Sus scrofa: one gene and its partners. The protein of the gene in region 6 binds, or shares a complex with, the protein of the main gene of each other region. Links are inferred from orthologs where the notes say so. Each region holds a gene or a part of one and is shown on either strand. Other genes may lie near its edges.

Region 1 (3,460 bases), on a different chromosome or scaffold from region 6:
ACCCTCACCTCCTTGGAGAAGCCCTCCCTGACATGTGGTTAGTCAGTCCAACCTCCCCAGCCTCTGCTCAGCACCACTGGACACACAGCAGATCGGCCTGCGTCTCCTTGCCCCGCCTCCAACGGGAATGGAAACGTCGCGGGGCAGGGCTTCTGTCTGCGGGTGCACTGCTGGACCCCGGCATCCAGACCGGGGGTCAGAGAGAGCGAGACCAGATCCCTCAACGCTGTGCCAGGCCGGGAGCCTGGGAGACGAAGGTGCACAAGACAGAAACACCTACCCTCGCAGAACAAGTGTGCCAAGGAGGCGAGGTTGCTGGAATGGGTACTGAAGGGTGACAGTGCTGGTGGAGGGCACGGACCCCCATGTCGTAGGCCAAGCAAGCCTCCCCCACCCCCAAAGGTGTCTGTGAGCCACTCTCTGGTCCTTATGAACCGTCACCTCGCCCGGGCCAGGGATCAAACCCCAGCCACAGCAGCCACCCCAGGATCCTTAACCCACTGCACCACAAGGGAACTCTTATTTGATTTTATGAGCGGCCATGTGATTAAGTTAAGGATCCTGAAATGGGGAGGTGCCCTAGATGGTCCGATCCTGGGGGATCCCAGGGGCCCAGTGTAATCCCTGGGACCTCAAAGGAGTCGGAGGCGTGAAGACAGATGCAGAGTCAGGCAGAGGCGGGAAGGTGCCGCACTGGCTTCGGAGAGGGAGGCAAGTGCCACGAGCCGAGGGGCGCAGGTGGCCTGTGGAAGCTGGAAAAGGCGGCGGAGCGACCCTCCGAGGACACAATTCTGCCGACACCGTGACCTCGGCCCAGTGAACCACCACGGGCTCCGGACCCAGGGAACTTTAAGTCAGTAGCCCTGCAACGCTTTAGGCCACTAGGCTGAGCAGTGACGGGAAACTGGTACAGCAGGGGCAGGGGAAGTGGACCTGGGGGTGGGGGGGCACAAACACTCCCACCTCCACCGTCAGGACAGCGCAGACGGGGTGGGGGTGGGGGTCCTCTGATCACAGCTCCCCCCACCCCCACCAGACCGCAGACATGCAGACAGATGCCGGCTGCCCCTCACCTTCCCCTCCGTACTCTCGTGGAAACTGTCCACGCGCGCTGCCAGCGTGCACTTGGCGGCCACCAGCCGGGCCGCTTTCCGCCGGAGATCCTGGAGCAACGACAGAGAGGCAGAGTCAGCGTGAAGATACAATCAGATCACAGCCGTTTCCAGAACTCCTGCCGCCATGGGCTCCGTTTCCCACACCAGCTTTTGTCTTCACTGCTGTCGTTACTGGAATAACGTGTAACAATAGCAAAATGTTGCGGTCGGTGTCTCCTCTCACCCACCTTCCCATCTCCCCAGACAACAGAGATGCATTAACACAGAGGCAAGACGATGAAATACTGAGAAAACATGTTACAATTAAAATAAATAAATGAATAAAATCAAATAAGAGTTGCCTTGTGGTGCAGTGGGTTCAGGACCCAGTGTAGCCGCTGTGGTGCAGTGGGTTAAGAATCCTGGGGCAGCTGCTGTGGCATGGGTTTGATCCCTGGCCCAGGAACTTCAGCATGCTGCAGGAGCAGCCAAAATGTATTTTAAAATATTTTTAAAAAATCCATCAGTGTACCTGAAAGGCAGGGGCTGGAGCTCTGAGAAATACCAAGATGATACATGAGCCCCCAAGTCCCAGTTAGCAACGATAGGAGAACTGAACCCAGTTAGCCAGCGCAGCGGAGAACTGAACCCTGCCCGAAGAGGCCTGGCCTTGGCCCTGGCTCCTGGGCGTCCTGGTGGGGGCCCTGGCTAAGCTAGCGTGCAGCCCTGTGTTTCAGGGTGGGGTCTCTCACCAGGCAACCCCATCTCTGCCTGAGCCAGGTAGAGACGGAGGCCTGAGGCCCCGCTGGGCGTCCTGGTGGCGACTGTGTCCTGTCTCATGTGGTGCCTGTTTGGTGCTTCCAGACCCTGCCCTCACGCTTCTCCCTGGCTGGTGTTCGTCTGGGTTCCCACGACGTGATGAACCTGGATCAGCTCGAGGTGAGCTCTGCAAGCCCTTCTGGGGGTCACTGAACCTGACCATGGCCTTGGGAACCCCGATCTCACGCTTCCATCACTTTTGATGTGTGAGGCCTGCCCTCAGAGTGTTTCTCGTATGACTGAGTCCACGTCGCGGCCCCTGAAGCAGGTTCACTCCCCCAGCTTCCAGACAGGGAGGCCAAGGCTCAGCACTCAGGCCTCTGGCCCAGCTGCGAAGTGGCGCGGCCAGCATCCCAAACTGGCGCATCAGCTGTGGCATCCTTAACCCATGTGGGGCATCCTCTAGGGTTCCATGCACCGGGGTCACAGGGGAGCCGCGGGCCCTGGGGAGCTGCCCTGTGGGGCATGGCAGGTGCGGTGGGGCTGGGGGCTCACCGGGGGCAGGGACTGCACGATGTCGCTGTGGTAGATGTAGCCGGTGTGTGGCAGCACCGAGGTGGACGAGAAGCCGGACAGCGTCTTGCGCTGGGCGCCGAGCAGCATGATGTTGCAGGCGGGCATCTTGGAGAGGTTGGTCAGGCCGCCGGCCACACCTGCGCAGGAGGGCGGGAGTCAGAAGGCAGGCGGGGGCGGGGGGGTGTGTGTGCACGTGCGGGGGTCACTGTGTTGGAGCCTAGGCGGCCCCGCCAGGGAGGGCCAGGTGTCCCACTCCAGGGGGCATTCAGAGGTGGCTTAGAGAAGTGAAGCAACTGGCCCAACAGGAACCTGACCCCAGAGCCTGCAAAGCTGCGGGGGGCCTCCCCCCCCCCGCTCTGTGCTTGAGAGCGGTTTTCACCACACCGGGAGCACGTGCCCACACGGCCCAGTGTGGCACGGCATCTAGGTCCCCTGGAGCGTCTGCAGGCGTGGGGGATGGGAAGAGGAGCGGTGGGTAACACGTTCTCCCTCTGATGGGGACCACTGTGGGCGGGGCCCTGTGCTGGGGGTTTCTGAGGATGTGGCCCACTGTCTCATCCAACACGTGAATCCTCGAAACAAGCCTCCAACGCCTGTGCGGGAGCAGAACAGCGCCCCACGGTCACTGACATCGCAAGCCCCAGAAGTTGTGCCTGAATACAGCCAAGGGGACTCGGCAGGGCCCTGAGAAGGGGAGACTGTCCTGCAGGACCTGGGCGGCTCAGTGTCACCGCAGGGTCCTCGACGGCAGGAGAGAAGGGCGGAGTCAGAAGGGATGGCCAGGATGGAGGAGCCCCCCCCCCCCCAAGGAGGGCAGGCGCCTCTGGACGCTGGAAACGGCAGGGAACGCGGCTTCCTCCCTCCCCGCCCCCCACCCCAGGACCAGCCCTCCTTCCCCACCCCTTCATTTTAGCCCGGTGAGGCCCCTGGTGGACGTGTGACCTCCACAACGGTCGGGTGGTAAACTGCACTGTTTAAGCCTCTTGGTCTGTGGTCGTCTGTTACAGCAGCAACAGGAAGCTGGCACACCC
Region 2 (3,500 bases), on a different chromosome or scaffold from region 6:
CATTGTGGCGCAGTAGAAACAAATCCAACTAGGAACCATGAGGTTGCCGGTTCGATTCTCTGGCCTTGCTCAGCAGGTTAAGGATCTGGCATTGCCATGAGCTATGGTGTAGGTCTCAGATGAGGCTCGGATCTGGTGTTGCTGTGGCTGTGGAGTAGGCCGGCAGCTGTAGCTCCAATTAGACCCCTAGCCTGGGAACCTCCATATGTCGCGAGTGCGGCCCTAAAAAGACAAAAACTAAAAAAAAAAAAAAAAAAAAGGAATAGCAACACCAGGAACTATAAAACACTATAGGTACTTTCAGCAAGTACAGGCAATTAAAACCAACCAAACAACCTGTGTTGTCTGCAAATATAAACATGTTTTGTGAATAGTGTATTAGGGTACAAACACACCATATACAAAAATGTTCGTAATCCTTTAAACTTACCAGCTTCCCTCTTCTTAGATTTCACCTTCGGTTCAACATCCACAAGTAGTGTATCCAGAGGTAAACTGTCCGGCAGAATAAAATATCGAATGTTATTGCCTCGAATACTCAGTGTTTCCAGCTGTACTGGTTCTCTGTTCTTCAGGGTCATTTTCACAGCTTTAAGATGTGTATTCATGCTGACATCTACACCTAGAGAGAAAAAAGGGCAATTATTAGTATAATGAAGGCAATCACTTAATCTACCAAGCCAAAGGAATTTCCCTTGTGGTATAGCAGGTTAAGGATCCAGTGGTGCCACAGCTGCAGTGTAGGCTGCAAGTGCAGCTCAGGTTCAATCCCTGGCCCAGGAACTTCCGCATGCTGGAGCCTTGGCCAAAAAAATACACTATCAAGCTTCAATCAGTAGCCTGTTACAGAAGAGTACTGGTTCTGCTACAGCGCAAGTTTCTATGATACAATAATAGTACAATTAGTACAATTGAGTACAACTGGTAATGATGACAGTATAAATCAGAAATCTTTCCTTCACTAGATTTTCCCTAACTTGTTGTTTTGCACTTATGTGTGCTTACAGCTAGCCATGAAGAAACCCAGACCGGTACACATGCCTTATTCTGACAATCCCTATGTATCCTCCTCCCATATCAGCATAGGCAATGCTTACTGTGTGGTTCTCTGTCTCCTTAACTTCCTTACACCCCATTCCACCAAGCTGTCTTCATTTCTGTTTAAGACAGCCCTAGGGAGTTCCCGCTGTGGCTCAGCGGAAACAAACCTGACTAGTATCCGTGAGGATTTGAGTTCAATCTCTGGCCCCACTCAGTGGGTTAAGGATCTGGTGTTGTTGTGAGCTGTGCCGCAGTTCACAAATGCAACTGGGGTCTGGCATTGCTGTGGCTGTGGCTCTCAGCTGTAGCTCTGATTAGACCCCTAGCCTGGAAACTTCCATATGCCTCAGGTTTGGCCCTAAAAAGGAAAAAAAAACACCCTATTAAGTACTGTGCTATCTGTCCTTATTAGCAGGAAAGTGACATGTCTTGTGTCTTTTAAACTGTGCTTTAAAATAAAGGATTCAGAGTTCCCATTGTGGTTCAGTGGTTAACAAACACGACTAGGAACCAAGAGATTGTGGGTTTGATCCCTGGCCTCACTCAGTGGGTTAAGAATCTGGCGGTGCCGTGAGCTGTGGTGTATGTCGCAGATGTGGATCGGATCCTGAGCTGCTGTGGCTGTGGCGTAGGCTGGTGGCTACAGCTCCAATTAGACCCCTAGCCTGGGAACCTCCATATGCTGTGTGGCCCTAGAAAAGGCAAAAAAAGACAAAAAAGAAACCCCAAAAACCCACAAAGGATGCTATTGTTTTAATACTTTGATTACTAAGTAGCACACGTTTTGAGTGGTCTGCCTCAAACAGTTTTTCCCTTTAAGCCATTATTTTTAGTATGAGATTTTACAAAATGAAAGCAATTGTTTTCTAGGATGAATATATGGCATTAGAGTAGGAATACTTGATTATTGGAGCCTTTATCAGCATGTTTCAATAAATGGGATAACTAAAGATCTAATTAATTTCTGTCCCTAGAAAGGCCAGAAAATATGAACCCTCCCAACATCCACCTCAAATTTACTGAACTTACTACTACAAATCCTCTGTCCTCTTCTTTCCCAAAATGGATATACTTTTTTAAAAATGGCCACACCCTCGGAGTTCTGGTTGTGACTCAGCAGAAACGTATCTGACTAGTATTCAGGAGGACACAAGTTCAATCCCTGGCTTTGCTCAGTGGGTTAAGGATCCAGTGCTGCTGTGGCTGTGGTGTAGGCCAGTGGCTACAGCTCCGATTCAACCCCTAGCCTGGGAGCCTCCATATGCCATGGGTGAGGCACCCACAGCAACACCAGATCCCGTGCCAGGCTGAGGATCAAACCTGTGCCTCTGTAGTGACTCAAACCACTGGACCTGGGTTCTTAACCCACTGTGCCACAGTGGAGACTCCTTTAATTTTTATTCCCCTAATTAATATACCTTTTCTTTTTGGTCTTTTTAGGGCAGCACCTGTGGCATATGGAGGTTCCCAAACTAGGGGTCAAATCAGAGCTGTAGGCCAACTACAGCCACAGCCACATGGGATTAGAGCCAGATCTGCAACCTACACCACAGCAATGCCGGATCCTTAACCCACTGAGCAAGGCCAGGGACTGATCCTGCATCCTCATGGGTATCAGTCAGATTTGTTTCTGCTGAGCCACTATGGGAACTCCCAAATTAATATACTTTTGATAAAGTCCACCTCATTGGGGGTACTTGATACAATAAGGAGAGGGAAAACAATAAGATTTATGAGCCTCTTTCTGGGTTCCAGGAACTGCACACTAATGCATTTTAGTTTCATCCTCCATGTTCCTATGGTAGACAGTATGATTACCCCTATTAGGAGGACTAAAATACACATTCATATAGAATACAGAAATTTGTAACTGAAGTTGACAGTGGGGAAGGGAATTGGATTTTTACTAGGCTTTGCTCCCCAATTTAGTGAAATTTTCTTCCTGGGACATGATTTATTAAGTTTTTACCGTATGTAAGGCAAACTTTGCATTGCATTGTTTTTGTGCCTTTTCCCATCACTAGATTTTCCTAAAAAGCAGGAAGAACACTGCTTCTCTCATGCTGTATAGCAGAGAGCTCAAAAGACAGCATTATGGAATTTTAACAGGACAGAAATTACATTCCCCCAAATTTGATCAGAATGTATGAAAATCTTACACTAGACTGATTTCCTTTCATGGCACCTGGTGTTGCAAAGTTCTAGGAAACCCACACGTATCAGTTTAATACTATGTATATCTCTTCTTTACTCAGATGCTGAATCTACATGTTAAAGAATTACTTAAAGCTGTAAATGAAGATTCACAGTGGCTTTAAATAGAAAACTAGAAGTTCCCGTTATGCTGCAGAGGAAATGAATCTGACTAGGAACCATGAGGTTGCAGGTACAATCCCTAGCCTCACTCAGTGGGTTAAGGATCTGGCGTTGCCATGAGCTGTGGTGTAGGTCGAAGATGC
Region 3 (3,224 bases), on a different chromosome or scaffold from region 6:
CACATGCAGTGAGAAGCAGGATCTAAGGCGGCACCCATATTCCCACCTGGAGGACTTTTGGAGAACTTTGAGAAGCATAACAGAAAAGGCCTGGATTGCCTTAAATAGCCTGTTAGTAGAAATATGGACTTGCAAGGAGTTAGGGACATGTTCCAGGGAGTGGAGGAAAGGGATCTTTGCTACACAGTGGCAGAATGTCTGTGACACTTGTAAGCGATGCATGTGGATAAGAGCTGAGAACACAGAAGTAAAGTCTTGAAGGCACTGCCTGGTTTCCTAGGCCTTATAGTAAAAGAAGAGAGAAACTGGTTGTAAAAACTGTCAACAACAACAACAACAAATTCTCAGCCTCTCCAAATAGCAAAAGATGCTGAAATCCAGAAATGGGTGCTGAACTCTTGACACAGAAGCCACATAACCTACTGAAACCTGGAAAAGACCTAAAGGTCAGAATGTTCAAAGGACAGGATCTTCTCCCAGGAAGCAACCAGCAAGCTCTGGCACCCAGGACAGACTCTACCTGCTCAGGCCGAGGGGAAGCACTACAACTTCATGCTGCTGGCAGGAAGCAGGCTGAAAAATAAGCCAGCTGAAATGCCATTCATGAAAAAGGCAGAAAAGGCTGGGGAGAACCCTCCCGAGGGCAGGCATTGGACCAAGAGGATGATCCTAGCCCTGCATCAAAGCCCTGCTCCTGGTGAACCCAGACTGTTCCCTATGCCTGTCCCACACTGTATCCTGGGGAGGGGCCACAGAGAAAGAGTGTCCAGGAGCTGGGCTTAATGGGTCACCCAGAGAAGCCTCATCCACACTCAGTTTTGCATACGAGAGGGATCTGAATCTTTGTGAGCCAAAGGGCAGACTGCAGTAGGCAGAATCCTAAAATAACCTCTGCTATTTCCTGCTCTAATCCTCAGGACTATGAGATGACATCATGCCTCCGATCAGTTACACTGCACTTCAAAGGGAATTCTGCAGGTATCCCTACAAGTACCCACCAGTTGACTTTAAAATAAGGAGATGCCCCAGAATTATACAGTCTAATCCATCAAGTGTGCCCTCTGAAAGCAGAACAGGAAGTTAGAGCAACTGTGTAAAAATGACTCAACTCTTGGTTGAGGGCTTCAAAGCTGGAGGGGCCTCTAGGAGCACAGAGGGGCCCAGGTGGAAAGACACCTCATTCCCATGTCCACCCAGAACTGGAAACTGGATTCAGCCAATAGTCCCCAAGAGCCAAGTAGATTCCCCCCTGACTGACTGCCTGGCTAAAAGCCCAGCCTGTGACTATGGCCTTGAGACCCCAAGACAGAACCCAGTGAGCCTGCCTGGACTGTGACCTACAGACCTTGGGCTCATAAATGGTGTTGTTTTCAGCCACCAAGTTTGGGCACACTGTCAAACAGAACAGAAAGCTAATCTACACCCTATATACTCTACCCAGAACTTCTCTAATTGTGAAGCTCTACCTCTGGAGTATGGCCTAATGTTTATGTTGCTATTTACTAACTTTTGTAGTAACAATAAACTAAGAATTTTTTTTCTTTTTAGGGCCACCCCCTAGACATATGGAAGTTCCCAGGCTAGGGATCGAATTGGAGCTACAGTTGCTGGCGTACACCACCATAGCCATAGCAACGCAGGATTCCAGCTGCATCTGTGACCTACACTACAGCTCACGGCAATGCCAGATCCCTGACCCACTGAGTGAGGCCAGGGATTGAACCCGCATCCTCATGTAAACTAGTCAGATTCATTTCTGCTAAGCCACAATGGGTACTCCAACAGTAAGAAATTTTGACAAGTAAAAACTGTGAAATGGTGATTCTTTCCAAATTAAATGTCCACAAGAGAATTTTTTTTCACTTGTGATGCTACTTAACTTTATAAACCCCAATCAAACGTATTTGCATCTGCATTGGACACCCATGTACCTAACCAGTAGCCACTCTATGTTCTCCTTTCATGCAAAGTTTGTAAATCATGGATACAAATTAATTTAAGGCGATTAGGGAAATTCTATTCCTTGAGTCAGTAACTGACTGATTAAAGTCCACAAAAGAGTTTTTGTCTTGTTTTGTTTTTAGGGCTGCACCCACAGCACATGGAAGTTCCCAGGCCAGGGACAGAACTGGAGCTACAGTGAGGTCAGGGATAGAACTGGAGCTACAGCTACTGGCCTATGCCGCAGCCACAAGCAGTGCCAGATCCAAGTCACGTCCGTGACCTATACCACAGCTCATGGCAACGCCAGATGTTTACCCCAATGAGTTGGGCCACGGACTGAACTTGCAGTTGGGTTCATTACTACTGGGCCACAAAAGGAACTCCAGCAACAGAATTTTTCAGCTGATAAAATAATCTTGTATTTCTAAGCAAAGTAATTAAGTAAAGGTTTTCCTTCTGGCTATCACAAAAGGACACTAAATAAAGTCATTGATATCATATTTAAAAAGTCAGTTATTTTAAACATTTTTTCATCAACATATTATACTTAAAGGTATCTGAAATGTCAATAAGAACATCTTCCACTTAATTACACTTCATTTAGTTTTCTGGGCAGTTATTTCAAAAGGGTAATGTGTTACTGTAAATGCTAAATCTGTAATTGCTACTTTGAAAATTATTTAAAAGATCACACTGATTGCCTGGTGACACAAACCATATTATGATATGAGTGCATAACTGACCTCCTCCTAAAGAAAAGAATCTAAAGATATCTTGATTACATTAAACTTCCAGACCATCTATTCAATTTAAATAACAACTTTAAGAGAACATACCTGAAGAAAAACATGACAGTACACGGATCATATAATTCATACATTTTGTTGAAGTCAGGTACTTCTGTGATATCCACAAGATAAATAACTGCAAAATTTTTAACCTAAAAGGAAAAGAGGTTGGGGAGAAAAAAAAACAAAATGTAAAATGACAAATCATTTTTTATTCCATAAAAGCACATTTAAAAACAAAAACAAAAAGAATTTGTGTATAGGGAGTTCCCGTCGTGGCGCAGTGGTTAACGAATCCGACTAGGAACCATGAGGATGCGGGTTCGGTCCCTGCCCTTGCTCAGTGGGTTAACGATCCGGCGTTGCCGTGAGCTGTGGTGTAGGTTGCAGACGTGGCTCAGATCCCGCGTTGCTGTGGCTCTGGCGTAGGCCGGTGGCTACAGCTCCGATTCAACCCCTAGCCTGGGAACCTCCATATGCCGCGGGAGCGGC
Region 4 (3,500 bases), on a different chromosome or scaffold from region 6:
AGTGGGTTAAGGAGCCGGTGTTGCCGTGAGCTGTGGTGTAGGTCACAGATGCGGCTCAGATCTGGCGTTGCTGTGGCTGTGGCGTAGGCCGGTGGCTACAGCTCTGATTCGATCCCTAGCCTGGGAAACTCCACATGCCACGGGAGTGGCCCAAGAAAAGGCAAAAAGATGAAAAAAATAAATAAATAAATGAAAAATAAAAAAAGGAACAAATCTAGGAGTTCCCATTGTGGAGCAATGGTTAAAGAATCCGACTAGGAACGATGAGGTTGTGGGTTTGATCCCTGGCCTTGCTCAGTGGGTGAAGGATCCGGCGTTGCCATGAGCTGTGGTGTAGGTTGCAGACGCGGCTCGGATCTGGCGTTGCTGTGACTGTGGTGCAGGCCGCCAGCTGTAGCTCCGATTAGACCCTTAGTCTGGGAACCTCCATATGCTGTAGGTGCGGCCCTAGAAAAATCAAAAAGATTAAAAAAAAAAAAAAAAAGAAAGGCACAAAACTAAACACACAGTATGATTGACTTTGTAAAAACACGAACAAGCTAAGAGCAGGAAGCGCCGAGTACTAGGCTTACAGGTGATTTCTGTGTCGCCTTTTTTGCTCCAAATCAGTTTATATACTGCATGTGCATTAACCTATCTGTGATAAAATAGTGAACATTAAATCCTAAACGGCAAAGAAACGGTGGTGGAACATGAGGCCAAACTCCCCACACTGAGACTTTCGTTCAATCACCTCAAAGACCGAGTTTACGGAAACTTCTGACGCAAAGACGGACGCAGAGCACAGACACCGCCTGCGGCCCCTGCAGCCCGCACCCCAGGAGCTCACCGGAGCTGGGGCACTCCTGCAGCGCCTTGGCCATCAGCGTGCTGGCGATGTTCTTCAGGCCCGCACGGTACTCCAGCCTCACGGACTCCAGCCTGAGAGAGAAGCCGGCGGCGGCAGCGGGGGGGGGGGTCAAGCAGCAGCAGCCCGACCACAAGCCCAGACGCAGTTCTGGAAGCTCCCGGGAAGCCACAGCAGCTGCGCTTCCCCGCTCTGCCAAGTGGGGCTCGTCCACCAGGGAAGGGAGACGCTGGGGTCCCCACGACCAAGCTCAGTGGCAGCTGCCCTGGAGGTGGGGACCTGGCACCCCCACCGAGGTGCAAGAACGAACAAGCGGGGAGGACACACTGGTGTGCTGTCACCGAGGCCCGCCTCGGCCCCTGCGCACACGTTCCCAGGGACAGAGGGCCACCCTCACGGGCAGCCTCCTGTCCTCCCTCAAGGCAGAGTCGCCTCTTCCGAGGAGCCCGTTCCCGGCGTCATCCGCCCCCGACGCCCCCCCGCCCCAGGGCACACGCTGCACCGCGTCCGCTCTCTCCGGGCCCGGCTGAGCCCGCCTGAGGCAGGGCCAGGACTCCACAGGCGAGCGCCCGCCACTGCCCCGCGAGGCCTGAGCGGGACACGCAGCACCGAGGCCTCGGGCAGCTTGCTGAGGGGCACGGGACGCTCACCACAGGCCGGGGTTCTTCGGGTTCTTCAAGCGGGACTTCTCCAAGATGGCCCGGGCTCGGGTCAGCTGCCCGATCTTCTCCTCCAGCCGGGAGAGCAAAAGCCACAGGGGTGTGGAGTGGGGACATTTCTTCAACTGCGGCCAACAGACACCAGCGGGACAGGGCTCAGCTGGTGTCTGAAGGGGCCGGGATCAGGGCTGCCTGTGCCCAGAGAGCCAGCCACTTCAGGCCCCGGGGGGCGCCCGCGCACGCGGGTGTGGACTCTGCAGCCTGGGCGTGACGTGGGCCGCAGCCCGCCACTCGGCTGGCGCAGCACAGCCGCGTGTGCAGGGCCTGAGCCCACCCCTCCTCCAGCTGGGGCTCCGCAAGGGCCGCCGCCCCCGCCCCCGAGGGGAGGCGCTCTGTCGGCAGCCGGCCCGAGGCTCACCCCCTGGTTGTAGGCTTCCCGCGCCTTCTCCATGAGCTCCTCCTGCTCCTCGATCTGCCCCTTCATCATCCAGAGCTTGGGGAAGTCCTCGTAGTGCTTCAGCGCCTCCTCGCACAGCTCCTGGGCGGCCGCCAGGTTCCCCAGCACCCACTCCAGCTTCACAGACTTCATGAACACCTGGGGGGACGGCGTCAGGCAGCACCTCCCCGGGCGTGCCCGCCCACGGCTCACCCCGCGAGCTGTCCACCCGGCCGCACGCACGCGCTGCTGTAAGCGGGCTCCTGCCCCTTGGAACGGGCCGGGCCACACACACGACTGCACTGCAAAGCTGAGCGCGCCGAGCCAGCTTCGCGTGCCTGCGGCCTCCGTCCCCCCTCCCGCCCCCGAAGCGGGCGGTGGGGCAGCTCTGCTCACCCGGGCTGTGGGCGCGCTGCTCCGCGCCTTGGCCAGCAGCCGGCGGGCCCGCTCATACTCGTTGTTCTCGGATTCCAGCTTCACGGCCGCCAGCCAGATCTCCTCGCTGTTGGGGTTGGCCTGGGGGCAAGCACAGCAGTGTCGCAAAGGGAGCAGGGGGACTCTGCAGCGAAAGCAGCCAGCCTGGGGGCCGGACCAGGCCTCACTCTGCAGCAGGACCCTCTGATCCAAGCCAGAGGGTCCACCAGGCAGCGCCCGGCCCCCAAACGCCGACCTGCCCACAAACGAGGCCGCGTGCCCACGGGGACAGACGCAGCCTCCGTGGCTGCCGGCAGGGCCATCTCCCCCAGGACCCACCCCCGCTTGCAACCCGCCTGCGATCCACCCCACACCCCTGGTGTGAGGACGCGGGCCGGACGCCAGGACGCCTGGGGCTTTGGCATGGCGTGGAGGCCCCCAGGGTTGGGACCCAGCCATGTGCAACCCAGTCCCGCAGACACGTGGGCGGTGCCCTCAGCCTCCAGCAAACACAGCCACCTGCTGGCCACACTCGGCCTGGCCGGGCCACAGGCCTGCCCAGCAGCCCCACAGGGACAGGTGAGGAGAGGAGAGCGCCTGGCGGGAGACAGGCAGCTGAGCACCTGCAGCACTGAGCGCCCTCAACAGGCAGCTGAGGGCAGGAGGTGCCGTCCAGGCCAGTCCCTTCCCTCAGCGTTCACTCAGGGACACGCCAACTTTACCACGTTAGCCTGGGTGACGACACATCGACATGTGCACAGCACGCTACGGTTTGTAAAAACCTGTGTTGCAAACCGCTGCCTGATACTGTGTTGTCATAAAGTATTAGGATATCACACGTGACGACAAAAATCAAGCCCTTAAAAAAAAAACGTCCAACAAGCCTGGCCGGCTGCAGCAGTCTGAACGCAACTCCACCCGCCCACGGGCCTGGCAGCAGCAGGAGGCCCCCGTGCGACCCCGAGGCACACGCCCTGTGCTCCGGGCATGGGGCACAGGCCTTCCTCCTGCAGGCGCTGGGCAATCGAACGTCACGCGGGAGAGTGGTGGTCCCTATGCCCTCCCGTGGGAAGTGTGCCCCAGCTGCTGCTCCACCCCGCCCGCCTCCCCGTGCTGTGTTCTGGAAGAGTGAGCCCGTGGTCAC
Region 5 (4,169 bases), on a different chromosome or scaffold from region 6:
CCCCGGGTAACTCCAGACCCTACTCCTTGCTGCAGTCACAGTCAGTATCCTGCTGATTCCTTAGGGTCAGGCTCCCACATGCTCTTGACTTCTCCCAGGAGCTGGGACCTCACTTTAGAGTTTACCAGCACTTCCTTTCTCACCAACCCTGTGCCTTAACCAGAGCAGGAATTACTGCTCTCTCCCTCCCCAATTTAGCAAAGCAAACCGAGGTTCACACACAACCTGAGTTTTGGTTTCTGCCTGCAAGGGAACACAGGCCACCTGGGACATAAGGAACTAGAGTGAAGAACTCTAGCAAGACAAAACACTGAGTCTGGGAGGCCGGGGGGGGGGGCCTCCCCCATTGCTCTATGCTCCCTGCCAGTTCCCTGCCCTTCTAGGCCTCAGTTCCCCGAGGGGACAGGATCTCTCACGGCAGCTTCAGCAGGACTTTTCGCTTCTGGGGAAGCTGCCGCCCCAGCCTCTCAACCAGGACCCTCCCACCAAGACCGCCATCAGAGCTGCCTGGGGTTCCAGCCCTGGGAGTATCAGGAAACCCCAGCAGACCGCGGTTGGCGCTGCGGGAGCCAAGGCGGGGTGTACACCTGGCCAGACTTCACTCAAAGCTCTACAGCCTAGGACATGGCGGCCGTCGGTCCAAGGTCACGCGGCCGGACCCTGACCGCTGCTAGGGTGGGCCCCCCTGTTCCCCTGGATGAGGGCTAAGCCCTCAGGGAGCACTGACCGGGCTCGAGCGGCGGCCCCGATGCCTCCCCCTCCGTCCTCATGACGTGGGCGGCGCGGGGCTCCCATGGCCCCGGCCCGGCGCCGGCTGCAGCTTCGGCCTCGTCTGGGGCGGGAGCGGGGCCGCTAGTCCCCGGGTTCCTGGGCCGCCACCGCCACTGCCAGCACGGTGGGGAGAAGGGGAGGCGGCAGCTGGGCCGCCCCAAGCCCCGCCCCGGCCCTTCCAGGCCTTGGCCCGCCCCGTCCGCCCTGGGCCCCGCCCCGGCCCGCCCCCGCCTCCTCTGGCCCTCAAGCCCTCAGGCTCCCAGGCTCCTGTCTCCGCTGGTCCCGGCCGCTCAAAGTGTCAGCTCCCAGGGTTGCCGCCCCGACCTCCGAGGCCTGGCGCGGACGCGCAGCCCTTCCCGCCCCGCTCCCCGGAAGCCCCGCCCAGGCCCGGGAGTTCCACGAACGCGGGCTCCCCAGAGCCCCCGGCAAGCTCCGCCTCTGCCAGGTCCTACTCCTCCGCCAGCCTCGGGGCCGGGAGACCCAGCCCCACCTCGACTCTCTTTGGAGGGACGGCCGAGGGCCGGCACCCGCTCTGCTCCTGTCTCCCTCTCCGCTCAGGGGTCCCTTTACCTGGCACTGCCGGGTTCCGAAGGTTAAATTGTGAGGGGAGGTCCTGGCCCTCGGCCCCACCGCTGCCTCCCCCGATCCCCGCCTCGCCGTCCAGCCCGTCGCCGGTGTGAGGTGTTTGGAAAAGCGAGTCCCTCTCTGCCCTTGCCGGCCCGAGGGTCGGTGTTTCCGGCGGCACCTGGGTCCAGTCATCAGTCTTCCGGGGCCGGAACTCTTGAACCACAGACCGAGTTTCCCAGCCGGTGGGGTGAGGTGGAAGCGAGGACGAGACCGCGCTCACCACTGGGAAAAGGAAGAGGGCGGGCCCTGCGCGAGGCATTTTGGGAACGCGTGGTATTCTGGGAGCGCGGGACCCGCCATTCGCTTGTCTCACGCTTCGCAGTCGGCAGAGTCGCGGCCGCACCGGGAAGGAGGAGGAGACCTCAGGCGGTGAGGGGAGGCTGGGGGCGGGCGTGGGGAGGCCGAGGCACTCGGAGGAGTAGAGGGTTGGAGAAGGACGCGCTGCCGAGGAGCTCCGCGGGGCTCGCCGAGGGACAGGAGCGGGAAGCCGGGCCACCAGACAGTGTCGCCTCACTAGCGCTTGGAAGTGAGGTCGTTAGCTTTTCCTTCAGTTTCCATACCTCCCCAGGCCAGTGTTTTTCGAAGCATCCAGGCAATGGTCTTGAGGTCGTTTCTGGCTAGTTGCTTCCTTCCCAAGTCCTTTGCTTCCCTGCCTCCATCCGCCCCCTCATGCTTTCTACACCGTTACACAAGCTTCTTTCAAGTTTCCCTGCATCTAAGCTGTGTTCGAACCATTTTGTAAGTGCTGCTGCCTTTCCCAGGGATAATTCCTTCCCTATAGTCCTGCCGTGGTTCTCCCATTGCGTTCAGCATAAAATCTACACTTCTGAGGCTTCTCACGAAGGGCGCCTGTCTCTTTCACTGCTCTTCCTTTTTCTCTTTATGCAGGAGATGTATTCCACCTTTCAGCTGACCATTTTGGAATTTAAAAACCGACAGCTTTCCTCTTTTAAGGTCAAGTCAGGCTTGCCTTGATTCCCTTTTTTCTCCAAGATAAGCATTTCCTGTGTGTAGCACATTATCACTTTGTGAATACTTTGATATTTTCTCTTTAACTTTGATGGTGAAGTAAATGGAGAGTCAAAGAGCACTTACTGGGTTGAATTAAATGCATGGACTCTTCTTGATTTTAATTTTCGTTCTTTTTTTTTTTTTTTTTTTTTTGCCACCCTGAGGTATATGGCGTTCCCTGGCCACGGATCAGATCCAAGCCATGGTTTCCACCTTCCTCGAAGCTGCAGCAACCCACTATGGTGGGCCAAGGATCGAACCAGTGTCCCAGGGCTCCAGAAATGCCTCAGACCACATTGCGCCACAGCTGGAGCTCCTTATTTCATTTTAATTTTATTCAATTTCAGAACTTGCAGTGGTTACTGTTTTGGACAGCTCAGGTCTACGTCCTACGTTCTCAAGGTGATGTTACCCACTGCTTTGGGTTAACAAGTACACCTGCCTTCCAACCCCCTCTGCTGCAACATAGTTATTTGATAAAGATAAAGGGACCTGTGGTAGCAGGGAGATGAGAGGCAGTCTTTTCATTCCTGTTAGCTTTCCCTCTGTCTAGCCCCCCTGTTCCTCCCCACCCAATCTTGCATCTTGTTTGCTAGATATGTTCTTCAAGCTGGGGTTAAGCTACTTTTTCAAGTTCCTTTGGGAGTTCCCTTCCTGGCTCAGTGGTTAACGAACTTGACTAGGATCCATGAGAATGTGGGTTTGCCCCCTGGCCTTGCTCAGTGGGTTAAGGGTCTGGCATTGCTGTGAGCTGTGTAATCGCAGATGTGCCTCAGATCCTGTGTTGCTGTGGCTGTGGCATAACCCAGCAGCTGTAGCCTCTATTCAACCCCTAGCCTGGGAACTTCCATATGCTGGGGGCGCAGCCCTAAAAAGCAAAAAAAATAAAGTTAAAAAAAAAAACACGCCTTTGGCATTTTTGCTGAGTGTTACAGAGTGTCCAGCCTTGAGTGAGGCTTGTGCCACATGCCTCTCAGGCCCTGAACCATGAACTCTTATCTCTCTCTCTCTCTCTCTCTCTCTGTAGAATTCTCTTCCTGCCGAGATGTCTATTGGTGTGCCGATTAAAGTCCTACATGAGGCTGAGGGGCACATTGTGACCTGTGAGACGAACACGGGAGAGGTGTACCGAGGGAAGCTCATTGAAGCCGAGGACAACATGAACTGCCAGGTATCCTGCTTTGCACATGAGCCTATTGGGGGGAGCTTGAGCCTGTGTCTTGGAGGACAGAAAGCTGGTGATTGAGGGTCTTTTTGAAGTTCTCATTCAGCAGTTACTGAGAGCTTAGTGAATGCCAGGCACTGTTCCAGATACCAGGGATGTGGGCATAGGTAAGAGCCATTTGGAATATTTAATTTTGTCCTTTGTTTCCCAACCCCATAAACCGTTTTCTCCCATATCTCGGGGCCTGTTTAAGAGAAGTAGCACAATGTTCAGTAGAACCATTAGGTTCAGGGTCGCTAGTAACTCATCCCTACTTGTTTGCCCATTGCTTTGCAGTTTGCATACCATGTGGTTTGGATACCATATGTAAATCTTCCACTTATATATGGTAGTTATTTGCCATTCTTCTTGGGGGAGGTATCTTCTTTGATTGCATTTATAGCAGCTACCCTGTGAGGTAAGAAGGTTTTGATGATAGCTTTGTCATCCATAAAATGGGAAAGATAAGATTAAAGGACTTAATTACTGTACTTACTTGCTAATAAATATTGAAGCCATTTCTTGACGTGGTGCCCTTCTGATGGCAGTACTTTGA
Region 6 (3,500 bases):
CCTGGCCTCGCTCAGTGGGTTAAGGATCCGGTGTTGCCCTGAGCTGTGGTGTAGGTCACAGATGCAGCTCAGATCCTGCGTTGCTGTGGCTGTGGTGTTGGCAACTGTAGCTCTGACTGGACCCCTAGCCTGGCAACCTCCATATGCCATAGGTTTAGCCCTAAAAAGCAAAAAAAAAAAAAAAAAAAGGCTTTATTATGGAAAATTTCCAATACATTATTTTCATATCTATCACCTCAAATGATCCTTATGACAGACCTATGACAATGATCATTTCTACTTTATAATGAAGGTAACTGAGGCGTGGAGGGGTGGAGGGAATTGTGTAGGTCCTCGGCTTTCTCCTGAACCACAGTCTCAATTTCTGCCTAGTCAAGGAGCTCCTGTGTGTATAATATAAAAGACGTTTCCCCTCCCACAAGAAGAACTAACTAAATAACTAAATAAAACAAAACAACAAAGTTATCACTCTCTAAGAGTTTTCTGCACATGTAGTGGCAAATGGAAAACAAAATGAAGATAAAAATAATAATCCGTGTTTACTGAGTCCTTACCACCTACTAGGCACTATCACGGCAAAATGCTTTACAAACATGATCTCACCTTTACCAATAAGGAAACTGAATTACAGAGATGAAGTCACACAACTAAAAAAGAAAAGCTGTATCGAGATGGGCAGAGTAGCCAGTCTATAAGCTCACTTATATACCTGCTCCAAAATGATGCAAGTACCAAGACACGACAGACATGTCAGGGATCTCTGGGGTCCCTTGGGAACACTAAGAACTGCTAATTGAAGGCTCTGCTGTAAAATACAATGAATGAGCACTGACCTCTCGAGCGTGGTGTGGCCATGAGAAGCAGAGGCAAATGGTATAGAAATGGCTTTGTAAGACCAATGCTGATTTTTTTCCCCGAACCCCACTTAGAAAAAAAATGGCACTGTAAAATGGGACTTACCAACAAGCTGTGGCCAGCATTTTGGAATTGGGACTAAAGTGACAGTAGGAAATAGGCCGATCATCCCCAATTTGACTGCAGAAATTATTCAAAGACTTAAAAAGACAAACAAAGGATCATTATCAGGCTAATCTCAGACCTTCTTGGATTTTCCACCAGTAAAAAAAAAATCACACACATACACATACACACACCCCAACCCTCCCCATTGTGCCTCCACCCCCAACAAAAAAACCCTCCCAACACCTTTCCAATTCAAACCCACTCGTAGATTACTCCACCCTTTTTTGGTAGGAGACATTTGTATCAATGAATGAATGGAAACTCCATCCAGCTGTCTTCTACAGTCTTAGTATCACTAGCTTCTGTCAGCTAAATATAAACAGGAAAGCCGAAGTTCCCATCGTGGTACAGTGGAAACGAATCCGACCAGGAACCATGAGGTTGCAGGTTCAATCCCTGGCCTTGCTCAGTGGGTTAGGGATCCGACTTGCCATGAGCTGTGGTGCAGACTTGCAGGCTCGGCTCGAATCTGGCATTGCCGTGGCTGTGGCATAGGCCAGCAGCTGTAGCTCCAATTAGACCTCTAGCCTGGGAACCTCCATGTGCCACAGGTGCAGCCCTAAAATGACAAAAAAAAAAAAACCACCCCAAAAACCAAACCCCCCCAAAAAACAGGAAAGCCATGGCAAGATCTAAAGTACAGTCTAATGTATTAAAACGGAGAACTGAAGAGTAGAAGCACAGGACTCTGCAGAGTACAAAGGACACTAGCTTCCTGCCACCTTAACTGATAGCTTCTTGCAAACAGCAACAGTGTAAGCAGAGAAGGATAAGCATAGCTGGCTTCACTTGCTAGAGACAGGCCAAAGTAGAACATCTAATAAATATTTAAGAATCTTCAAGACATTGGACAATCGCTGAGAGCATCTCACCCGGAGAGACTTGTGCAGCTCTTGCATCTGGGAGGTTCTAGTTGTCTCAGGAATCTCTTTATGAAGACGGGCCTCTTCCAAGCGTTTCATTGCCCTGTGACAGAAGCATTATCACCCTGAGCAAAGGGGTTGGAAACAAGGGTCCACACAAGTCTCTCTACCACTCAACTTTAATGAACAACCACAGTAATTATAAAGCAGATTCTCAGTCTTTGAGAGGAAGTAAGAAAAAGTATGCTCTTTCCTCCCTCTCAAGGCTCTCCTTACCTGGGCAGTGAATAATTAGCAATCCACAGTCTAGCAACCTTCAGGCTGTTTGGTCCTTCATGGTACCAGGTTTGCTGATACTGAAAGTTAAATTAAGAGTAGAAATGTCAAGTCTCAAGCAATGCCTACCCCTTTTATTGCTGTCAATTTCCTATTATAATTGCCCAGAAAAAAGGTGAATTGGTTCAGGAATAGGACGAAATCAGGTACATGTGCCTTCTCCTGTGTTTCTTTCTATGAACTCTCATTGGATGGTTTCTGGTTCCTTATTAAAAGCGACACCAAGAATGCTATGGTTCTGTCTTGAATGGGAAACTGACTTACCTCCATTTAGACTTACACAGGAACCACAAACTACTGCCAACAACTCTTTCTGAGCAGTAGAGTCTTCGACTCCCCGTCCCCTAATCTAGCAAAGTAAACCACCGAAAGCAGAAGACGAGAGCACTACCCCCTTGTTCACTGCATGTTTATACTATGAAGTCGAAGACATATTTACCTCTTCTTTGGACTTCTTGGATTTCTCATCATCTTTTTTGGTCTTTTTTAAGGCATCAGTACCGACCACTGAGAGGATGTTTCTTAACCTGTTACCAAAAAGATCAGATTTAAATAGAGGTGAGATTGTGAAAAGTCTCTCTAAGAAGAGGACAAGTCAGCCCTACTCTCTCACCATTCAAACCCAGGCCACCTTCTTTAGGAGTCACGTGGTGATGCCTGAACTTCCTGTGTGATTTCTTCCACTCAGAGGTCTTGATTTGCAGAGTCCCTAAATTGAACTAAAAGCAATCACCCTGTTCAACTTAGTTGTCAGCCAGCCCCACCACTGCTACCACTTGGGCTGTGAATCACTCAACGCCACAATGTGCTGGATACTGACTCAGGTGCTGAGTATAAAAAATGACTGAGCGGAAGTTCCCATCATGGCTCAGCAGTAATGAATCCGACTAGTATCCATGAGAACACGGGTTTGATCCCTGGCCTTGCTCAGTGGATTAAGGATCTGGCGTTGCCGTGAGCTGTGGTGTAGGTCGCAGATGCAGCGTGGAATCTGAGTTGCTGTGGCTGTGGTGCAGGCCAGCAGCTGCAGCTCTGGTTTGACCCCTAGCCTGGGAACTTCCATATGTCGTGGGTGCAGCCCTAAAAAGCCAAGAAAAAAAAAAAAGACTAGGAAACAGTTCTTGATTTCAAGTAGCATGGCGGGGGTGGAGGTGAGGGTGGACAGGATACAGGATATACAGAAAGTACTGGGGAACCATAGTACATTACATTAAGTGTTATGATAGTGGTAAGCCCAGGCTGCTAAGGGGAATCATAGAAGGAGTAAACAGCCTAGGC
Region 7 (4,166 bases), on a different chromosome or scaffold from region 6:
CAGCAGCTGCAGCTCCAATTTGACCCCTAGCCTGGGAACTTCCATATGCTGCACATGTGTCCCTAAACCAAGAAAACAAAACAAAACAAAACAAAAAAAACCCACAAAAAAATCCGACTACATCGGCTAGGGTCCTTACAGAGGTGTGAGTCTGATCTTCAGCTTGGTACAGGAGATTAAAGGATCTAGCTCAGATTGAATCCCTAGCCTGGGAACTTCCATTTGTCACAGGTGCAGCCATTTCAAAAAAAAAAAAGCACCTTTCAGACATTAAGAACGTTAAAGATCAACTTTATTGAGATGGAAGATATCCACAACATAGTGTCAGGTGAAAAAGCAAGTTTTACAATTGCACAGAGTATGACCCTGTTCTTAATTAAACAACAACAACAAAAAAGGATGAGGGGCAGGCAGAAAGGGATTTAAGTTCTGGCTTTGTCCTTTACTAGTTGTATAGACTTAACCAAGTTTCCTAACCTAGTCAAGCTTCAGTTTCCTCATGTAAAACAGCAACAACAGTATATGTCATGTAGAGGTGTTCAGAGAATTAAATGAGTTAATAAATGAGTATTCAGAGTAGTGCTTAGTCTATAGGAGAGCCTCAAATGTTAGCTTTTGTTTTCCCCTTCAGAACACATTAGGCACCTACTCTATACCAGGGCTGTGCTAGACACAGGTACACAGTGGGCGCTTAAACACATCTTGGCCCTATAGAAGACCAGCCCTAAACAGTAAATACATTTCTATGAAATCACAGTTTGAGAAGCACCCACTAGAAAGGAAAGACTCTATATGATAGAAGTGTCTATGGCCTAGAAGAACCAGGAAAGTGCAAGGATACAGCATTTAATCCACGTCCTAAAAGATGATTTGAAGTTAATGATACAAGGGGACGAGGGATGTAAAAACAGTACAGACACAAGGGACTGCACTGGTCATCTGTTTATCTTTTATACTGTCTACAACAAAAGGGCAATTATACCACATAGATGATTCTGCAACAGCTTTCCATATTAATACAACTCATTTCCATGTGGCAGCTGCCTTTAATGGAAATACCAAAATCTAACCCATTCCCTATTTTTTTTTTTTTTTGGTCTTTTTTTGCTATTTCTTTGGGCTGCTCCCGCAGCATATGGAGGTTCCCAGGCTAGGGGTCCAATTGGAGTTGTAGCCACTGGCCTACACCAGAGCCACAGCAACTCGGGATCCGAGCCACGTCTGCAACCTACACCACAGCTCACGGCAACGCCGGATCGTTAACCCACTGAGCAAGGGCAAGGACCAAACCCGCAACCTCATGGTTCTTAGTCAGATTCGTTAACCACTGCTCCACGACGGGAACTCCCCATTCCCTATTTTATTTTATTTTTTTGGCTGTGCCTGTGGCATGTGAAAAGTCCCAGGCCAGGGATGGAACCCGTGCCACAGCAATGACAACGCCACATCCTCAACCTGCTGCACCACAAGGGTACTCCATAACCCATTCCCTATTAATGGCTCCCCTCCACCAATTTTTGACTATTAAAACAAACAAACAAAAAAAAAACTACCAAAATTTTTGTACATAAATCTTTACTTCTGGAGTCAATACTTACATTTCTAGAATTTGGGTCAAAGGACCATGTGATTTCATCAGAAAAAACTTTTATTAAAAAAAAGTGATTGATGCCTCTGCCCCCTGACTTCTTTCTAGTACTTACATTTTTCTTTGGATCTTCTTCCCATAAAGATAAAACTCTGCAGCTAATCTGTCAGTTTAAGGCACAAGTCATTTCTTTCGTTTGTCTCTCTCCCATCTTGCCCAGCCCTCAAATACTTGTCAAATTAAAGAGGTTGTTCCGGAGGGCTGGGCACATCCACCCCCTACAGACTTGTCGGAACAGGTACCTACCTCAGGTCATTCTTGAGTTCCACGACCACATCCTTGCCCACAAGGGACTTGAAAAAGGAATAGAAGAGCTATTGGGCGAGAGGGGGAAAAAACATCATATGGGAAGGGACTTGGGCAGAGGCGTGTTCCCCGGCCAGTATTATGAGATACTGGTCCTGGGGATCCCCGCCGCATCTCTCTGGCAGTTCTCAAAACTTAAGAGGAAAGAATACTCGGAAAAACGGCTGGAGCCCCGGTGATTACTACCTCGAGCGCCTGACCTAAAGCCCGGGAGAGAGGCTCTGGCCCGCACGCCTCGGGCTCGGCTCTCAGTGGACCACCTCTCCCGGCGTCCTGCCCCCACTACCCAGTGAAGGGTACCAAGTGTAACACCCGCACCCTCTCGGGGCCTGGTCTGTCAGGGAAGTGCTCCTTGAGGTCTAGCTTTTCCCTCTCCTGCTGTTCCCGCCGACTCAAACAAATAAGACCCATTCGTTTTGAGGTCTCTCCCCAACGAACCTGATTTGCAGGAAGTAAGGAGGGAGAGAAAAATCCCAGGGCCCAACGTCAGCCCAAAGGAACAAAGCTCCCGGAGGGCCCCCCCGCCCCGCCGCCGCCCCGCGACCCCGTCTCCGTCCCCAACCATCCCAACGGTCGCGCTCCCCGAGGGCGCCCCCTTGTGACATCACGGTACCTACCATTGTGCTTGCACCGCGGGATGCCCGCCTGACCGGGAAGGCGAGGGCCGGGTACCGCGGTCCGGAGGCCGGGCGGGAACCGGAGCACAAGGCCGCGCGCGAGGCGGGGCGGGGTTGCGCAGGGGCGGCGGGAAGCGCCGCGGAAAGCTCAGGGTGACGGAGGAGAGCGGACCGTGCGCTCCGGCTACAAGCAGAGCGGGCGGGGTAGGACCGAGGGGACGCGAAAGCCAGGGAAGGGGCGGGGCTTCCCGCCTTCCGACTTCCTCCCCAAGCGGCCGGCTCCCACTGCGCAGGCTCGGGCTCTGACGGCTCCCCCGGCTTTCAAGTTTTCTTCCTTTTAAAAATAGTGTGGTTCCAGCATGATTTGCTCATACCCTGAAGACACTTACTATTGCAAACTGGGCGTTTGTGAAAACCCATGATGATTTGTACACTTTTCTATGTCTCTTACACTTTGATAAAAGTAAAAATGTTTGAGTTCCCAAGATCAGGAACCTGCACACAAATCCGATTTTGTCAAAGGTTCCCGATAAACTTATTTCTCCTGAGAACCCAACCTCAGTCCACATTTCTTTTACGCTTTTGCCTAGGGCTTTCCTGTAAGGGGCTGAGTAAAGCAAAACCGACTGACTCAGGGATAGAAATACCCATTCTGATATTTCACTTCCAAACATTGCCCTCTCAAACACAAAGGGACACAAATTCACAGTTACATGTATTTCTATACTCATGTCCCCAAAGCATTATCAGTATGCGATGACGCAAAAGGTGAAATTTTTTTTTCAAGGAATGAGATCCAAATAAATTCTCCATTTTCTCCTTTTTCTTTTTTGGTCTTTTTAGGGCCGCACCCACAGCATATGGAGGTTCCCCGGCTAGGGGTCCAATGGAGCTATAGCTGCCGGCCTAGGACAGAGCCACAGCAACACAGGATCCTAGCCGCGTCTACGACCTACACTACAACTCATCTCATGGCAATAATGGATTCTCAACCCACTGAGCGAGGCCAAGGATTGAACCCACAACCTTATGGTTCCTAGTCGGATTTGTTTCTGCTGTGCCACGATGGGAACTCCTAAATTCTCTGTTTCTAATCTTGCAAAAAAGCATCCATCTGGGAGTTCCCATTGTGGCACAGTGTAAATTAACCTATTATCCATGAGGATGCAGGTTCAATGCCTCACTCTGAGTCAGGGATCCGGTATTGCCATGAGCTGTGGTGTAGGATGCAGAGGGTGGCTCAGATCCCTTGTGGCTGTGGCTGTGGCCTAGGCTGGCAGCTACAGCTCTGCTTGGACCCCTAGCCTGGGAATTTTCATATGCCACAGGTGCAGCCCTAAAAAGCAAAACAAACAAACAAACAAACAAACAAAACAAAACAAAACAAAAAACCTCACTACCCATTTGTTAGGAGTTTGTTGTAGAAATATTTTCAGCATGTAAAGGATGTAATAAGGGACCCTGTGAGTGACAGACCCCACTGATAAGTAACACCAGGACATCAAGCAGAAGTTTGTACCTCTGAACCCTAAGCACCTAAATCAGTCTATCCCTGAATATAAGCAGTAACTATTGTAACTCTACTAATAACTATT

Evidence for each region.
Region 1: PRPF4 (region 6) and PRPF31 share a complex: the UniProt entries of both Homo sapiens proteins name them as parts of the U4/U6-U5 tri-snRNP complex. The link is inferred for Sus scrofa from reciprocal best matches to the Homo sapiens genes PRPF4 and PRPF31.
Region 2: PRPF4 (region 6) and SNRPD1 share a complex: the UniProt entries of both Homo sapiens proteins name them as parts of the U4/U6-U5 tri-snRNP complex. The link is inferred for Sus scrofa from reciprocal best matches to the Homo sapiens genes PRPF4 and SNRPD1.
Region 3: PRPF4 (region 6) and TXNL4A share a complex: the UniProt entries of both Homo sapiens proteins name them as parts of the precatalytic spliceosome. The link is inferred for Sus scrofa from reciprocal best matches to the Homo sapiens genes PRPF4 and TXNL4A.
Region 4: PRPF4 (region 6) and PRPF6 share a complex: the UniProt entries of both Homo sapiens proteins name them as parts of the U4/U6-U5 tri-snRNP complex. The link is inferred for Sus scrofa from reciprocal best matches to the Homo sapiens genes PRPF4 and PRPF6.
Region 5: PRPF4 (region 6) and SNRPD3 share a complex: the UniProt entries of both Homo sapiens proteins name them as parts of the U4/U6-U5 tri-snRNP complex. The link is inferred for Sus scrofa from reciprocal best matches to the Homo sapiens genes PRPF4 and SNRPD3.
Region 7: PRPF4 (region 6) and LSM2 share a complex: the UniProt entries of both Homo sapiens proteins name them as parts of the precatalytic spliceosome. The link is inferred for Sus scrofa from reciprocal best matches to the Homo sapiens genes PRPF4 and LSM2.

The regions. Positions count from the first base shown.
Region 1 is NC_010448.4:55,998,048-56,001,507, forward strand, and holds part of PRPF31 (U4/U6 small nuclear ribonucleoprotein Prp31), read right to left. Parts: intron 2,567-3,460; coding exon 2,409-2,566; intron 1,164-2,408; coding exon 1,074-1,163; intron 1-1,073. UniProt on the Homo sapiens protein: Involved in pre-mRNA splicing as component of the spliceosome. Required for the assembly of the U4/U5/U6 tri-snRNP complex, one of the building blocks of the spliceosome.
Region 2 is NC_010448.4:106,804,701-106,808,200, reverse strand, and holds part of SNRPD1 (small nuclear ribonucleoprotein Sm D1), read right to left. Parts: intron 623-3,500; coding exon 431-622; intron 1-430. UniProt on the Homo sapiens protein: Plays a role in pre-mRNA splicing as a core component of the spliceosomal U1, U2, U4 and U5 small nuclear ribonucleoproteins (snRNPs), the building blocks of the spliceosome.
Region 3 is NC_010448.4:127,977,889-127,981,112, forward strand, and holds part of TXNL4A (thioredoxin-like protein 4A), read right to left. Parts: intron 2,885-3,224; coding exon 2,781-2,884; intron 1-2,780. UniProt on the Homo sapiens protein: Plays a role in pre-mRNA splicing as component of the U5 snRNP and U4/U6-U5 tri-snRNP complexes that are involved in spliceosome assembly, and as component of the precatalytic spliceosome (spliceosome B complex).
Region 4 is NC_010459.5:62,850,009-62,853,508, reverse strand, and holds part of PRPF6 (pre-mRNA-processing factor 6), read right to left. Parts: intron 2,459-3,500; coding exon 2,339-2,458; intron 2,102-2,338; coding exon 1,925-2,101; intron 1,632-1,924; coding exon 1,498-1,631; intron 922-1,497; coding exon 830-921; intron 1-829. UniProt on the Homo sapiens protein: Involved in pre-mRNA splicing as component of the U4/U6-U5 tri-snRNP complex, one of the building blocks of the spliceosome.
Region 5 is NC_010456.5:49,584,118-49,588,286, forward strand, and holds the start of SNRPD3 (small nuclear ribonucleoprotein Sm D3), read left to right. Parts: upstream 1-1,369; 5' UTR 1,370-1,767; intron 1,768-1,800; exon of another isoform or gene 1,801-1,929; intron 1,930-2,756; exon of another isoform or gene 2,757-2,811; intron 2,812-3,436; 5' UTR 3,437-3,454; coding exon 3,455-3,580; intron 3,581-4,169. Other genes in the region: protein GUCD1, read right to left, coding at 728-770. UniProt on the Homo sapiens protein: Plays a role in pre-mRNA splicing as a core component of the spliceosomal U1, U2, U4 and U5 small nuclear ribonucleoproteins (snRNPs), the building blocks of the spliceosome.
Region 6 is NC_010443.5:253,912,758-253,916,257, reverse strand, and holds part of PRPF4 (U4/U6 small nuclear ribonucleoprotein Prp4), read right to left. Parts: intron 2,750-3,500; coding exon 2,662-2,749; intron 2,243-2,661; coding exon 2,163-2,242; intron 1,990-2,162; coding exon 1,896-1,989; intron 1,056-1,895; coding exon 961-1,055; intron 1-960. UniProt on the Homo sapiens protein: Plays a role in pre-mRNA splicing as component of the U4/U6-U5 tri-snRNP complex that is involved in spliceosome assembly, and as component of the precatalytic spliceosome (spliceosome B complex).
Region 7 is NC_010449.5:23,905,724-23,909,889, forward strand, and holds the start of LSM2 (U6 snRNA-associated Sm-like protein LSm2), read right to left. Parts: upstream 2,801-4,166; 5' UTR 2,575-2,800; coding exon 2,572-2,574; intron 1,963-2,571; coding exon 1,895-1,962; intron 1-1,894. UniProt on the Homo sapiens protein: Plays a role in pre-mRNA splicing as component of the U4/U6-U5 tri-snRNP complex that is involved in spliceosome assembly, and as component of the precatalytic spliceosome (spliceosome B complex).